3 linked regions of the Callithrix jacchus genome follow. The protein of the gene in region 1 binds, or shares a complex with, the protein of each later gene. Links are inferred from orthologs where the notes say so. Each region holds a gene or a part of one and is shown on either strand. Other genes may lie near its edges. The genes, in order: SCAP, INSIG2 and RNF139.

Region 1 (5,622 bases):
GGGAAGCAGAAAGTGGCAGGGGGGTAGGGGGAATAAGTGGGAAGGAGAAAGGAGGGGGGAATAAGTGGGAAGGAGAAAGGAGGGGGGAATAAGTGGGAAGGAGAAAGGAGGGGGAATAAGTGGGAAGGAGAAAGGAGGGGGGAATAAGTGGAAAGGAGAAAGGAAGGGTGAGTAAGTGGGAAGGAGAAAGGAGGGGTGAATAAGTGGGAAGGAGAAAGGAGGGGGGAATAAGTGGGAAGGAGAAAGGAGGGGGAATATAAGGCAGCGGTGGAGTGAGAGGGTTTGGGGTGGCACGGAGGAGGAGAGGGCAGCCGCACCTACCCCGGGCGCGGGATGCGCGTGAGACAGTCCCCGGTCTGCGCGTCCCACACGCAGACGTGGCCCGCCAGGCAACAGCTCACCAGCAGCATGCCGTCGCTGGCCAGGCACTCGATGTCCTATGGGAGTGTGCAGTGTTGGTGCGGGCCAGGGCCTGGCCCTCACCTTCCCCGCCTGCGCCCCCACTCACCATGAGGTGGCCACGCAGCACCAGCGGAACGATCTCTGTCTCGGGCGGTGCGTAGCCATAGTCATCACAGGGCAGCTCCCCACGCCTCCGCCGCCCCGGCCCACCGCCCGGCTGCCCGTAGTTGCGCGGGCACAGCACACGGTAAAGGCAGAGCAGCAACAGCACCAAAACGATGCCCGCAGCCAGGCCCAGTGCCGCCACCCTGCACAGGTGGGCGGACTATTGCGAGATGCACCCCCAAAGCCTATCCCTTCCTCCTCCCTCTCCCTGCTCTTCCCTATCCGTCCCCCTCCCTGCACTCCACCCCACCCCACCCAGCGGGCCTTACTTGTACAGCGTGACGTCTCCGTGGGCCTGTACCCCACCTGGGCCCTTGGGTCCCGCCTCCCAGTGCCCAGCCGGCACAGGCCCCGGCGGGGGCCAGGCATTACGGCCGTCCTGAGGGTGCCGACCCTCCAGGGCCTCCCTCGGGTTCAGGCGGAGCGTGACTGGGATGACAGGTAGCAGGCTAATGTACCTGGGTCCGGACAGTGGGCAGTCTCAGCGGGAGGCCTCCCAGCCAGTCTCCTCCCTCCTCCCCAGGCAGGGCTCAGCTCCAACAGCCAGACTCTCCCAGCATGGGGGTTGGGGACAGAGAGGTCCCTCCCCAGCCCAGCTTAGCAGTCAACCTTGCTGTCCCAGATACCAGCACCCAAGCAGCCCTTGTGGCCATGTGGGCTATCTCCCTCCCAACTCCTGGACAGGTGGGTGGGTCTCATTCTGCCAAGGGCTGGCAGCAACTGGTGACTCCTCAGAGCAACCTGGGACACTCTCAGGTTATGGCTGCCTAGAACACCAGTTCCCACCTCACAACCTTATGAATTATTTAATTATTAGCAGAATTCAAACCTGTGGGTCTCCTGCATCAGAGAACGGGGATGGTGGGCTAACACCATTGAGTGAGGAGGTGGCACCTGGCACAGCCCAGCTCACCTCTTGGCCAGCGTGATGTTGTAATAGCTGAAGAGTGTCGGCCAGTGGCGGAAGGACAATTTCCTCCAAAGTTCCTCATCCTCAGGCCCCCAGGTTACCTCTGGGACTGGGCTGTCATGGACAACCTCTGCCGGACCTCCACGCTCAGGTGGCTCGCCTGGCAACGTCTGGTTCTCAGGTAGCTTAGGGGCATCAGGTGGGAAGATGGAGAAGGCAGGGTCTGGGTGATTGGCAGGCAGCATGCCGCTAGGCACAGGCAGAGGAGCCAGGGCTCCCTCACCCAGTGGGCTCTGTTCCGTCACCTGGGCAGCGAGGTAGGTGCGCAGCCCTGCTGGGTCTGTGTACACCAGGATGCCAATCCAGACAACGGTGCCAGCCTGTAGGGGGGTGAGGGTACTCAGTGGGGCCCCTGGAGGAACGTGCCCTAATCCCCAGCAGCTTCAGCCCTCATGCTAGGAGGAAGGAGCACAGGGACCTGAGGCCTGGGGATGGAGAGAGGGCACAGGCCCATTCCATCCCTTCCTCCTGCCTCTCCAAGTCCTCCTGCCAACACTCGCCACATTTAGGGGCTGAATTTCCTGGCCTGGAAATACACTGAAGCACCCTGAGGTTTGACACAGAATGCCCCCGCCCCAATCTCCACCTCAGCTGGTGCCAGAAAACTACCATTCCTATGGTTAGCAAGGCCACGGCGCCAGCTGCCTGATCTGCTCCAGAGTCCCCAGTCCCAGGGGCCCTCAGCCTTCCTCTCATCTCAGTTCCACTCCCTGGGAGAGGCACTACTGCCCCAGAGCCAGCCCAGCCCGGCTGGTGACAGATTTTGCCCAGCACTTTCCAGCGTCTGCACACGATACAGCAGCTGATGAACCCGACCCAGGGAAATGTGGCCACAGGTGGGTCCATCTCAAAGCACTCGACTAGCAGGCTCCTGTCCTGGGCCACTCTGGGGAGAGGACGGCTCCTGTACCTGTGAGCCCTGGAGCTGCTTCTCCCACAGACAGGCTTGTCTCCTCAGAAGCCACCAGGGTCTGGGCAGGGAGGACACAACAGGCAGCTCCCCAGAGCCAGGCTTCCAGGGGCCACCGGGGCCTGAGGAGCACCCCTTGCCACTCTAAGGCCAAGTGCAGCACCACAAGGGGCCTGGAGCACTAAGAGGGCAACGCAGAGGTGGCAGGTACCATGATGAGGCGCTGTGCCAGACGGGTGCGGGCCAGGAAGTAGACGACACGCAGCCTCTTGGGGAGCCGCAGATTTCGGAAGGAAGATGGCTGCAACGTGATGGTGTGGGGTGTGGATGGCCGCACAGCCAGCTGCCGCTCATAGCGTGTTGGCTGCCCAACTGGCTTGGCTGAGGGCAGGCAGGCCTCAGGGGGCAGCCGCTTGTTCAGGTCTGCTAGCTGTTGGGGACACAGTGGTCAGGGCCTGAGTCCACTGTCCAGAGGCTGCCCTCACAGGACTGCTGCCCTGCCCAAGGTCTACACCCCTGTCACCCAGGGCTCCCTGAGGACAGCCAGGGCTGAGTTGGCGGGCAGGGCAGGGCTCAGCCCACTCCTACCTCCATCCGGCGAATGTCAATGGACAGGACAGTGGTGAAAAAAAGCATCTGAAGGAAGAAGTCAGACACCAGGCCCACCACGGCAAAGAGACAGAACTCCTGGAATCAGAGAACACGGGGGGGGGGGAGGTGGCGGGGGTGCTGTGACCTCACCTCTCCAGTCCTAGAGGAGCAGTGCCCAGACTGCAGCCACCTCAGAACCAGCAGGGCAGCTGATAGGGCACCAGCAGATAGGGCACAGCAGAGAGGAAGAAGAGATACTGGTTGGTCCTCAGCTCACACACCACCAGCAGATCATGCCATCTCCACCAGGGGGCAGCAGAAACCCTCACACTTTTTTCAGAAAGGGCTGAAAGTGGAGGGTACCCTCCCTGAATCTTCCCATCCCCCTAGAGAGGACTGAAGGCCTGATCCAACCTGGAAATCTCTAAGCCCCACCAGCCTGCTCCCCAAAAAAGTCCTGCCCCACTAAGTCTCCACCCTGCTCACGCAACAGCAACCCAGCCAGAGCCCAGGCCTGATTCAGGGGCTCTCAGAAAGGTTCCCAGCCAGCAACTGCCCCAAAGCAATGAGAAGAAAGAGAGAGCCGGGCACGGTGGCTCAAGCCTGTAATCCCAGCACTTTCAGAGGCCGAGGTGGGTGGATCACAAGGTCAAGAGATCAAGACCATCCTGGTCAACATGGTGAAACCCCGTCTCTACTAAAAATACAAAAAATTAGCTGGGCATGGTTGCGCGTGCCTGTAATCCCAGCTACTCAGGAGGCAGGCAGAAGAATTGCCTGAACCCAGGAGGCGGAGGTTGCGGTGAGCTGAGATCGTGCCATTGCACTCCAGCCTGGGTAACAAGAGCGAAACTCCATCTCAAAAAAAAAAAAGAGAGAGATTAATTCTCCTCTAAAACTGAAAAAGGGTGAGCTCTCTGCTCCCCAAGCTGTCAGCAGACAGAATTTTCTGAGATGTCAGTGTTGAGACCTTTAGCACATCACCACAGTGCTACTCAGATCTGGGGTAAGACCATGGGGTGCAGATAGTGGCACAGTGGTGTCTCAGCTCTAACATCCCAAGATTGTGCCTTGTCCTGCAGACACTACTGTTTTTCCAGGAGAAAAAGCCCACAGCCCATCTGTTCTCTGCTCATCCCCATCCCTCAACTAGCCTGCCAGCCCTGGGGGAAGGACAGGGAGAAAAGATGGCATCCTCCCCTTCTCGCAGCTCCTCTTAGAATGGCTGGCATCAGTCTGGGGTTCCAGGTCAGTGTAGGGCCACCTCCACCTCTGCTCACAGCCCACAGCTGAGCAAGGGCACTTTGCCAAGAGCAGGGTCACTCTGGGCAATGGGAATTGGCCCTCTCACAGGTCAGGCCAGGCAAGGCCATGCGTCTGGGGACTGTAGCACCCATCAGGGCCAAGAGAGAAGACCAGAGGAAGGGTCTAGGGACCCCATGGTGCTTCTCCCTCAGAAATGGGAAACACATGTGACTGGAACGGCACAGCCTGTCCCCAGCTTCTGCCATGCCCTTGCAGCCTCCTCCTGCCACTTTGCTGAAGGGGAAGCAGGCAGGGAGGGGTAGGAAGAAAGGGTCAAGGGCAAAGCCTGCCTGGCACTCAATCTTGGAACCCAGCCAGGCTTTGCCAAGCAATTCTGAGCCAGGCATGCCAGGGGCCATCTGTGTGCTGCAGTTATCGGTTTGCCAGGCAAGGATGCCTGTGCTGGAAGACGGGGAGCACGGTGCCCATGGCTGCACAGCTGGGGAGCACAGGAGTTGCTTCCATGCTCATCCAGGTGGCAGGCCTTGGAGCCTTACCTGGATGGCGGGCACTAGGGTGAAGTAGCCAATAAGGATGATGCCCAGTTCCGTGGCCATGTTCTTCATGATGGACCAGCTCTCACTGCTTAGGCCTGCAGAGGGCAGCAACAGAGCACAGGGCAGCACATGGCTGCTGTCTGCAACATGACTCACATGACCTCATGGGCCTCGGAGTGGCAGAGGCATGGGGAGGGCTGCCAGCTGTCTGAAGCAGCCATTCCACCAAAGTACCCCAACCCTCAGGACCCTGCCAATGCCCGGACTCTAAGGTGCTGTCACCACCACACAGCTGCTACAGGGAACAGGGGGGTTCGCAGCTTGGAGTGTGCAGGGGAGAGCTATAACCATCAGAAGATGGAAGCAGCAGAGTGTGGAGACGAGAAAATGAACAAGGAAAGCCAAGTGCACCCCACTCCAACCACATCCCACCTCCGCATGTGGTTCTTGTCTGGTCTATATGGGCCAGTATGACAGTATGCCCACCAGCCACAGGGCAGAAACACTCGAGAGGTGGAAGAGCTGGTTGCGTTCTTCCTTAAGCCCCTTCCTGTGGTGAGCCCTGATCCCATGCTATCACACTGTTGCATGTCTAAGGCTCGGAGCTCCTACTGGGTAAGGACCATTTCGCCCCATCTCTTCCTAACTCCATATCTAGCACAGAGCCTGGCTTATCACAGAGGCTTACAGAGGTTTGCTGGATGAATGGACGACCTGCCTACAGCCTCGTTCCTCACAGACACAGGTGACAAGCAGGAAGAGGCTCAAGTGACCAGACCTCC
Region 2 (6,063 bases), on another chromosome or scaffold:
CATAGTTTCTGAGTAACCCAAAGTGAGACAGTGTTTTGCTTTATGTTTTTGATTTTTCCAAAAGGGAATTAATGGAAAGGGGTATTTTATGTTTAACAGTATTTTTTAAAAGCAAAATAACTTCAGTTCAAAAAAGCTATTTCAGTCATGCTAGCCCCCATCTCACACTCACCAGCATTTGTCAAAGGGCACTGGCATTTTAGGCTGGACAATTATTTGCTGTGTGAAACTGTTCTAAGCATTGTAAAACATTTAGCATCCCTGGCCCCCACCCACTAAATGCCCCCTCCCCTATTTATGATAACCAAAATTGTCCCCACAATGAGAGCCACTGATTGCTAGAGACTTCTTCATTCTATTTCAAGACAGCTAGACTTTCTAAACTGTTTGTGTTTTCTGCCACAGCTGTTTATTTAACCTTTCCTGGCAGTGCTTGTTTAGTTTCCTACTTCACCCCAAAAGTTTTCTTTAAAAATAACACACTTGTTTGATGTTTATTTGAATGAAATTCAAAAAGCTAATTTTGTAACTACATCATAATACAACAGTATATAATTACTGGGGACAAAAAATAAAAGCTTTAAGAAATAGCAGGGAACTGGGAGATCATCTATTCCAAGGGGTATGAGACCACCATGCAAAACAAAACAAAAATGTTGTGTATATGTGCCTTTTTCTGGGATGGTTCTACAATTCATATCAGGTACTCAAAAAAGTCCATAATCCAAACAAAAGTAAAGAACCGGTAATCTAACAGTTCTCTCACTCTACTATTAAGGCCAATGAGATGCAAAGTGGTCAACTGGAATAGCAAGATCAAGACAGTACCATCAGTTCTTATCACCACAAACATGTACAGTGATGCCCAAAAATGACCAGACTCATCAAATGGATAGAGGCTTCCACAAAACCATATAACCCCCTACCATGCAACAATGAAATTCCTTTAAAAGCATGTTTATAGTATCAGTGACACACTAGAGGAGTGGGTTATTTTCAAGGGAAAGTAAGTTCCTTTAAGTTTATTTTGAAGTTTGTTTTTCTGATTATGTACTGACACCATTTTCTTAAAACAAAATGTATCTATATCTTTAAAATATTAGTCTTACATCAATGATAAACTTGATGCTCCAAAAATTTTTTTAATCTATATTTGAAAAATTTAGATTACTTGATAAATAATTTGCTGACCAGGGAGGAAGTCTCTGTATAAAGATACTGTTTAAAGGACAAGATCTCAATAGATTCTCAAAAATTATCCTGGTAAATAGGCAGGTGCTATTAGTTCTAATTTTATGAAATCAAATAGGTTAAGTAACTTTCTAAGATCACAGAACTGTCACCAGGTAGCACCAGGACTAGGCCCACCCACTCTGAAGCAGGTCAAGTTCTTCCTGCTTCACCATATTGCTTCCATCCACAAACATGGTACAAAACAATTTAAGTGCCACACAAGAAACCATTTTTAAAATAATGTTGGTAAACTACCATTAATACCAAAATAATGTTTTCAACAATTCACAAAGAAAAACTTTTCACTAGACTTGAAAAACTCTACCTTGAGCTCTGGCCTAAAGTTTCTGGAAAGTACAATGCTGAACAGAAAGAAAAACAGTTCAAATAATTTGCATAGGTCAAGGATGAATCATCAATACTGGAAAAACATTATGCCAGGTGTATGGCTGCCTATTAATGGATTGATAGTATTACTTTCAGGTTAAAAAAGAAGATTTACAAGTGATTATGGGCTTTGTGAATAAAAATTGAAGTTCATGTTGGCCACTGAAACAACTTAGAAGCAACAAGCATTTGAAAACACACGCACAAAATCTTCTAGTAACCTTAAGAACCTGTTGCATTGTAACAACTGCAACACCCCCAAAACCAAATGACCAGGCCATTCCTTCCAATGATTAGCAGTCACAGAAGCATTTTTACTCCCTTAGATAACCCTGTCTCTTCAGGTGCTTAGGTCACATACGCTACTAAATAATAAAGTTAAATTACTATCTCACATCTTTTTCTTCATATACTCTCTCAATTAGAATAGCATTCTTGAAATAGAATAAGCACTAACATTAGAAAAAAACAAACTTAAATCAAAGGAACAGTTTAATTCTCCCTAAATAAAAACACATCTACATGTATCATGGGCTAGGGACGTTAAAAACTTCTAGGAAGAAAAAAAATTATTTGCCTTATAAACACTCCAACTCTTTCAACTTGAAAACCCAAACACAGAAACCAGTAAGCTAGCTGCATTTACACCGCATTACAGCTTTTAAACATCACATCTCAGTGCCTAAAAAAGCTACTCCATCGTTTCGAGAGAAGTTTCTGAGAACAAAGAAAACTCTTTAAATTACTGAACCGCATTTAATCCTTTCCTTTTCCGTGTGACCATCCGCAGAAGCAACAGTTGTCAGTTAAACAGAATCAACCTCTTTCCCAAATGTACATGAGTCACTGATTGGTCACTGTATAGCAGATATGAACTGAGAACTATGACGACACAATGAGAAACCACAGTACTGAGCAAAGTCCAGGGAAAGAAAGAAAAAGAGAAACAGGAAGAGCACACGGCTTTTTTTTTCCTTTGGAGCCCCCATTAGTAGCATTCCCTTCATCCATCTTCATTCAGTGCTTCACTAACAGGACCCAACCCAAAAGTTAGAAAGAACCATCTAGCTATTGTTTCGCTGCTTTTATTTTTTCTGCACCAGGACTGGAGCACGCATTCCCCTGCAGTCCTCAGCTCCACGGCAATACTGATGCCAAACAGTTTCACCGGCCCAGCTGCCAAGCCTAACCATTCCTTCTTAAAGCACTTCTTTATCAATCCTACAAAACAGCAAGTTCTTCGTGGTATATTTTCCTAGACTACCTAGCTAATATCATACTTCAACAACTTTTTCCAATGTTAACTGGAAACGGGTCATATCACTTAAGTGTTAGTACCATTGCCAGCGCCCACCCCATAATCCACACTGCTTTCCTTCTCCATATTGCCAATCTCCACTGAGCGACCCTAATATCCAGTAACTATCATCAAATCCACCTCTAGGCCCTGGCAAGAATTATTTGGCTTTACCCAAACAACTATTCCAAAGGTATCCAATTACAGTCCAAAATGCCAGAGTCCTACTCCTCAACCCAATGCCCTATCTTTTTAGTGGATTCTAAACTTAGTATGATATCTACCTTCTTTGGATCCATCCCCCGCCCAAGCCTGAGTCGTGTACCAGGCTACAAGCCTCCCATTCCTGGCAGTTCTGTTTGACAGCTCGCTGACCTCCACCTCATCAGACCTCTGGGTCACCCTTCCCGCCGTCCTCCAGCCTTCTTCCCGCTCAGACACTCATCCACAGTCCGAGGGGCCTCGACGCCTCCTATGACCCCTCCCAGACCCCGCAGTCCCCAACTGGACCTAGCGGACTCCTCTCAGGTAAACGGAGCCCATGGCCCTGCAGGCCCATCAGTGGTCCTGGCTCCCCGCACCTGCCATCAGGGTTCCCAAGCTGCAAAGACACAAGTAGTTCTTCTTCCCGAGAGCCACCCTTCTCCACGGGCCGTTTCCCTCAGCACCACGTCACCCGCGCTTAGCCGGGAGACCCCCAACTCACCCCCGCCTCCGCCATCTTCTGGGACCAACCCCCGTAACCCCCAACGGCCTCTTCCTCCTCCACTCCCACAACTCCGCCCGAGCTCCACTGCGCTTGTGCAGCTAAGGCGGCCACACGCAGGCGATCGGGGCAGAGGAGCTTCCGGTTCTCGCCGGCAATAAGGGGTGGACCAGCGAGCCGGGGCAAAAGGGCTTCCGGTCTGCGGAAAATGGGCTGCTAGCGGTGGGCGGGGATAGTCGAGGTGACTGGAGGCTGGATCAGCTGTTGTTTGCTGACCAGGCAGTCGTGGGTAACGATGGATGCCCAGACCCTGTGGGCGGAGTAAGGAAATCATGCAATGAGACACGCACACTCCCCGGGAGGCGCGGCCGCCTGCGTGACCCTCATCTCGTAGCCTAAAGGGGCGCGCTCCGGAGCAGGCCGCCGAGTACTTCCAACAGAACACCGCGCATTATACTCTGCTCCTTTTCTTCCCCTAGTAAATTATAACATATTTTGAGAGAAGAGCATGGTTGTCGCTCATCTCCATGCTGCAACACTTTATGCGCTTTTCATTTAAAATCGTTTCTCGAGAACTACCAAGTAACGTGATTGGGTGGGGGGCAGTTTTCATAGGAAGGGCTTTGGAAGTTTACACGAACAGAGAAAATTTTAAAACCTTTAACCGCTTGTCAGAAGTATTGTTTTTCGTATAAAACCGTACTTTTAGGACATGAAACCAAACCAAACAGATCTTTGGAATTGTGCAGGTGAACTTGTATTTTTTATGAAAGTGGTGCCATCATTGCAGAAGCAAGTCCTTATAAGTGCCAAAAGGTATTCATCATAAGGAGTTGCTTCTGTACTCTGAATTTGTTTTTTTAAGCAGCTCTTTTTTAAAAAGAGAGAAAAAAGAAATCTCTCTTGAATGTATTACGTTACCAGGCTATTCCATTTGGGGTGTGGTAAGGTTACAATGGACTTGAATATTCTAGATGAAATCTGGGCCGAGAGTAAATGCATAATAGTTTTCCAAAGGACTGTCTCCTTTCATTTACTTTGAACTGATAAACGATAAGATGGATTTTTATTTTTCTGACCATTTTATGTACTTTTTTTTTTTTTTTAGACAGAGTTTCGCTCTTGTTACCCAGGCTGGAGTGCAATGGTGCGATCTCGGCTCACCGCAACCTCCGCCTCCTGGGTTCAGGCAATTCTCCTGCCTCAGCCTCCCGAGTAGCTGAGATTACAGGCACGTGCCACCATGCCCAGCTAATTTTTTGTATTTTTAGTAGAGACGGGGTTTCACCATGTCAACAATGCTGGTCTCGATCTCTTGACCTCGTGATCCACCAGCCTCGGCCACATTTATTTATGAAAATTGAAAAAGAATCAATTTCCAACAAAATGTTTCTAGGCAAGTATTGTATGATGCTTCTCTGATGTTTACTATAGCTCTTAGTGTTTTTGCTGTTTTCTATCGCTCTCAAATTTCACTCCTGTAAGACTTTACACTATCAGTAAGAAAGACCTGGGCCAATTATACAGAATGGACGATAATTTTTAAAAGAAAAGAGAAAGCACTCAGAAAAGAGAATAATTTCACAGTGTTCTGACATCACGTATTTCCTTAAAGCAATACAAGTCCTGTATGTCCAGTTCATGCCTACTCCAACCGAGCTTTTTTCAGACACTTAGAAATTGCCTTCAAGAAAATCCTTACGGAAAATTTAACCTAGAAGGGCATTTACTTTAGCTTAAATATTTATTAATTGCAAGTAGCGACAGAACCTAAAAAGCAAAAGCCATATAGCAACAGTTCCCAAGATTCCTACATCCAATGCAGTCATTCCTACCACAGTACAAGGCAGAATGTAAAACCCCCAGCAGAAATACAAAGAGCCATTGTCTTTGACCAGATTTGAGGACAGTTTTCATGGAAGATGTGGTCTTTCAGTGGGCACTGAGGATAAATATGCAGATATGGTAAACCTGTGCATTCTGGTGGAAGCTCAGAGTTAGAAAAACATGAAACAGATTGTAGAATCTGACATGTAGAAAGAGGTATGGTGAGACATGTAAGTTCTAAACATCAAGCTCGTGAATTTGGACTAAATTTTTGTTATGGAAACATTGGAATCCTAAATTAATTGAGGCCAGAATATAAATTGGTTAAAAACATCAAGAAATCATAGTAACTTTGAGTTATTTTGAAGTTGGTGTAATGCAGTCAATGGAATGCTGGTGAATGATCCTGGAAACCTGGATTGTAGTTTGGCAGTATGGCAGCATGTGTGTAATCACATCCAATAAATTTGGGTTTTTAGGCTTTCTTTTATTCATCTGTAAAACGAGAGATTGGTCTGTATAATAATTTCTGAGGTCTTTTTCATAGGTGAAAGTATCAACACTTTTTTAATTCTTGACTTCAAGAAAGGTTTTTTTCCATTAGCTTTATATG
Region 3 (4,432 bases), on another chromosome or scaffold:
ATGCATGTAGGCACATCATAAAAGCCCGAATTTTACTTCCTGACTCAAACATCATGGTGTAAGCCCCATTTCCAAACATTACAACTCCAAATATAAATTCAATAATACTTCCTGTTGAACGAACGTAGTAGACATAATCGTCAAGCTTTTCCCAGAGGACATTATAGTAGCCGTCAATCATGAATAATGTATAAACAGTGAGAGAAACGATTACTTTTAAGCACAGTTCCACACAAAATGCTGTAACTGCAAACAACCATGTATTTAGTGCATAGTGATGCCAAAGAACATAACTGAGTATGACAGGAAGAATAAACAGGCAAGCAGAGACAAACAGCACAGGAAAATGTCTACGAAAAGATGACACATGAGAGGCACTGAGAGACATTAATACAGGGTCTGTCATTCCATGTATGAAATGCAGGACTGCAGTTAATAGAAGGCACATGTTTCTACTTAAGCGAATAAGTCTCTCTTCTGGTCTTAGCCCACTTAACCCAGTCTGAAGAGCCAAAATAAAAAATAAAACTGGTGCAACAAAGCCAAGCCGCCTGTCATCTTCCTCAGTTGATCCAATAAAGGCCAATATTCCAAGCCCCAAATAATGGGCTACTGAGGAAATTACAGCACTCATGCCCAGCACAGTTAGTGTAGAATCACATCCACTAATTATAAGATTGCAAATGAGGTCCCAAAAATCATCCCAAGAAATAAAGAAGGTATCAGTTTCATTTGCCATCCTTAAGATGTACATTAACACTGTAGCCTGAGCTGTAACTCTTGTTAGCCAAAACACTCGCAGTATGTCTGGGAAACGAATCCTCTTCCATGTGTCCTCCATCAATAACTGTAATCCATAAATTCGATACATGTGCCTCACTAAAAGATAAACATATCGTGTGGAATAATAAAACCACTTCAGTTTCACTGCCAGGACAAGCACTGTATTTAATGTGAGAATCAAGGAAGAGGTAAACACTAAAGTCTCTCTGATGTGTAATGGTAGCTCTGTGATTAAGCCTATTACAGGAACCAAGAGATCCAAAATGATTAATTGTGAATAGATGGAATGAATCTGGAGTAGTGTAATGTATCCAATTCCAAATGTTAGCTGTAGAACGATAACTGCCATCCATAGCGAGGGACCTTTTCGAGGAAGCAGCTCAATTCCAAAAGCTGATGTGTTGTAGCCACCATAGAAGTCAATGTGCAAAGCAGCATAGTAATTCACCAACACTGAAGTTGCAGCTAACAGAAAGGCTGAGCTGTACATGTAAAACTTGAAAAGTGATCGCTGGGACAAGATCAGAACAATACTGGATACAAATATACCTAAAAGAAAGAAAGGAAAAGTCATTTGAATGAAGTATCTTTAAGAATGTTTTCCCACTAATAGTTATGATATTCTTTCTTTAATTAGGAAATATGAGTATGTTCAGTACATTAAGCCTCAAGCCAATTTTGGTTTAAAGGGCAACGAAGGTTTTGTAAAGTCAGAGTTCAAGAGGACAGACCAAACATACTAAATTATTACTTTTTTTGAGACGGTGTCTTGCTCTGTCGCCAGGCTGGAGTGCAGTGGTGCATCTCGGCTCACTGCAACCTCCACCTCCCAGGTTCAAGCGGTTCTCCTGCCTCAGCCTCCCAAGTAGCTGGGATTACAAGTGCCTGCCACCACACCTGGCTAATTTTTGTATTTTTAGTAGAGATGGGGTTTCACCATGTTGGCTAGGATGGTAAATTCTTTACTTCCTTCCTTTCTTTATAAAATTTCCTTCCTTCCTAATTTCCAGATTATTTCAAGTAACACTGTATATGCCGAAGGCACAAAATTACTAAATTATCTTCAAGATTAATTTGTAAAAGAATATGTCCTTCATCATTTGATAATCATTAAGATAATTTAAAAAATTAAGAGCTAAAAATAACCCAAATGAAAACCATTTGTTCCCATTAAGTTTTTGATTGATTGATTGAGACGGAGTCTTGCTCTGTCACCCAGGTTGGAATGCACTAGCACAATCCCAACTCTCCGCCACCTCTGCCTCCCAGGCTCAAGCAATTCTGCCTCAGCCTCCCAAGTAACTAGGATTACAGGTACCTGCCACCACACCCAGCTAATTTTTGTATTTTTAGTAGAGAAACTACTGGTCTCTAACTCCTGAGCTCAACTGATCCACCCACCTTGGCCTCCCAAAGTGCGAGGATTACAGGCGTGAGCCACCATGCCCAGCCAAGTTTTAGATTTTTGGTTTCAAGCATTCTTTAGGAAATCAAGTTCAAGTTTTATACTTTCACCTAATTCCTCCTTTTCTTCTAGCTAAGTCATACCAGCTCTTATTTTTCCTGCTCTTTAACTCTGAGCATTCTTCAAAGAGTCAAAAAATTCAGGGTTTTTTCCCTCCTACCTAGTTTCTTTCAGACTTACAAACATCCTCCAAGTTCCCTTTTTCCTGTACAATGCTGAATCTGTTTCTTAAAATAGTCCACCCTTTCTATTCTTCACATAACAAAAGTAACACTCGGAAAACCAAGACACGTTTTTAAAAAATGGTAATTCCCCTTCCCCCACTCCATAGACACCATCTTTCTTTTTACTCTAACAGAAATGCATATTTTAAGTAGGATTACAATAAACACGTTATTGTCCAACGTTTCAACAATGGGAATGGCATCTAAATACTCACCTAGTTTCACTCCTACATTACAACTGCAAATCTCCAAAGTTCTAAAACATAACTTGCCTTAAACTAGAATCGGCTTTTCCTTGTGATTTGATATTTCAGTTGAAGGTACCATTATTAACCTCTTAGAGGTACTCTCAACCCAACTCCACACACTCAAACTTTGCCAATTAGTTGCCAAATTCTTCTAACATCTCTATCTCCCTTTTCTGTGACACCAACCAATTAATGTCTCAAAAATAAAAAACAAAAAACCTCATCTTGTCTATGTCCATCTACAAGCCATCACCAAATTGCCTCGGCAGCTCTGAAATTGCTATCAACTAAAACCTACATTCCTGCTCCTGGCATTCGAGTATCCAGTTTGCTTTACAGTAATACTCCTCCTAACACACATACATCAATGCTCCAGACTTATGTTCCCCACATTCCTTTCTCCACTATAGGTACAGTGGCGTTTAGTGTATGATGTAGTGATGACCCCACCAACTTCCTAATCCCTGACTGTTCAAATCCTACCTACCCTGGAAACCCACTGTCTTTGATAGAAACTTCTTTCAGCATACCCACAGAACTTAGTGAAACACCTAACACTCATATGTCACCTGATACTGCAGTCTGTAGTTATCTAAGTATCATCTACCCTATTATACATGTGTCTGCAACAGAAAGCAAGGATCATACCTGTCCATCTATGGATCCTACAATAGTCTGTACAAAATAAGTACAATTAGTATTCATGGGGAAATGTCTGTCACATCCAGTTATTTTTAAAGGCAACTACAAAATATAACCTGCTTGAAAAATAAAATCTATGAAAAAGACAATGAGAAACCATATCCTGGAGTACAGAAAAAGTGACAAACTCCAAATTAAAAATCCGTCTATGGCCAGGTGTGGTGGCTCACACTTGTAATCCCAACACTTTGGGAGGCCGAGGCAGGTGCATCTTGAAGCCAGGAGTTCAAGACCATGTCAACATGATGAAACCCTGTCTCTTCTAAATAAAAATTTGCCAGGCATGAAGGCACACGCCTGTACTCCCAGCTACTCAGGAGACTGTGGCAGGAGAATCCCTTGAACCTGGAAGGAGGAGGTTGCAATGAGCTGAGATGGCACCAACTGCACATCAGTGTGGGTGACAGGGAGACCCTGTCTCAAAATAAATAAATAAATAAATATTAAGCAATAAAATAAAAGTCCATCTATCCACCCTATTTCAGCAGGTAATCAAGACACTGCATATTATTACAGTGGACGCATTTCACAATCCATTGCACATAAAAGCAAGGGTTAGTTCCTCTTTTTTTTTGACACGGAGTCTCGCCCTGTCACTATCTCAGCTCCTTGCAACCTCCGCCTCCTGGGCATGCCACCATGCTGGCCAGGCTGATCTCAAACTCCTGACCTCGTGATCCTCGTGAGTCTCCCAAGTGCTGGGATTACAAGCATGAACTATTGCACCCGGCCAGGCTAGTTCCTTTAAGTGATGATTCTGCCCAGGGATTTAAAATGTATCCTGTGCCAAAGTGTGAAGTCATTTGTGAAAAAGAAAACAAAAGGACACAATGAAGAAGATACATAAACCTCTGAATACAAACCACCTGATTCCCCAAGCAAATGGGCCACTAATAATCTCCCAAAGAGTTGTGAGCTTAACAGGCTCTTTTAACAGAAAACAGATTTTATTTTTTATTAGACACTTCCTCCATGGAAGGTAACAAGGAAATGGAATTAATTCAGCCTTC

Evidence for each region.
Region 2: the proteins of SCAP (region 1) and INSIG2 are in contact, whole or in part, in a cryo-EM structure (PDB 7ETW), measured with the Homo sapiens proteins. The link is inferred for Callithrix jacchus from reciprocal best matches to the Homo sapiens genes SCAP and INSIG2. Residues at the interface, in NP_036367.2 of Homo sapiens: Pro200, Ser206, Val282, Ala283, Glu284, Ile286, Pro287, Thr290, Ile294, Ala297, Tyr298, Phe301, Lys305, Tyr351, Val354, Val355, Glu359, Thr409, Leu410, Val411, Ser638, Tyr639; in NP_001308258.1 of Homo sapiens: Phe41, Val45, Leu48, Leu49, Ile51, Val55, Leu57, Phe58, Pro59, Val62, Ser65, Ile66, Glu104, Trp105, Ser106, Met109, Arg110, Val112, Ala113, Val114, Val116, Gly117, His120, Gln132.
Region 3: SCAP (region 1) and RNF139 share a complex: the UniProt entries of both Homo sapiens proteins name them as parts of the SCAP-SREBP complex. The link is inferred for Callithrix jacchus from reciprocal best matches to the Homo sapiens genes SCAP and RNF139.

Annotation. Positions count from the first base shown.
Region 1 is NC_133516.1:30,066,809-30,072,430, forward strand, and holds part of SCAP (sterol regulatory element-binding protein cleavage-activating protein), read right to left. Parts: intron 4,936-5,622; coding exon 4,841-4,935; intron 3,135-4,840; coding exon 3,036-3,134; intron 2,878-3,035; coding exon 2,659-2,877; intron 1,858-2,658; coding exon 1,481-1,857; intron 1,026-1,480; coding exon 837-1,025; intron 711-836; coding exon 509-710; intron 438-508; coding exon 322-437; intron 1-321. UniProt on the Homo sapiens protein: Escort protein required for cholesterol as well as lipid homeostasis.
Region 2 is NC_133507.1:102,719,305-102,725,367, reverse strand, and holds the start of INSIG2 (insulin-induced gene 2 protein), read right to left. Parts: upstream 3,713-6,063; 5' UTR 3,624-3,712; exon of another isoform or gene 3,499-3,623; intron 1-3,498. UniProt on the Homo sapiens protein: Oxysterol-binding protein that mediates feedback control of cholesterol synthesis by controlling both endoplasmic reticulum to Golgi transport of SCAP and degradation of HMGCR.
Region 3 is NC_133517.1:72,901,541-72,905,972, forward strand, and holds part of RNF139 (E3 ubiquitin-protein ligase RNF139), read right to left. Parts: intron 1,333-4,432; coding exon 1-1,332. UniProt on the Homo sapiens protein: E3-ubiquitin ligase; acts as a negative regulator of cell proliferation through mechanisms involving G2/M arrest and cell death.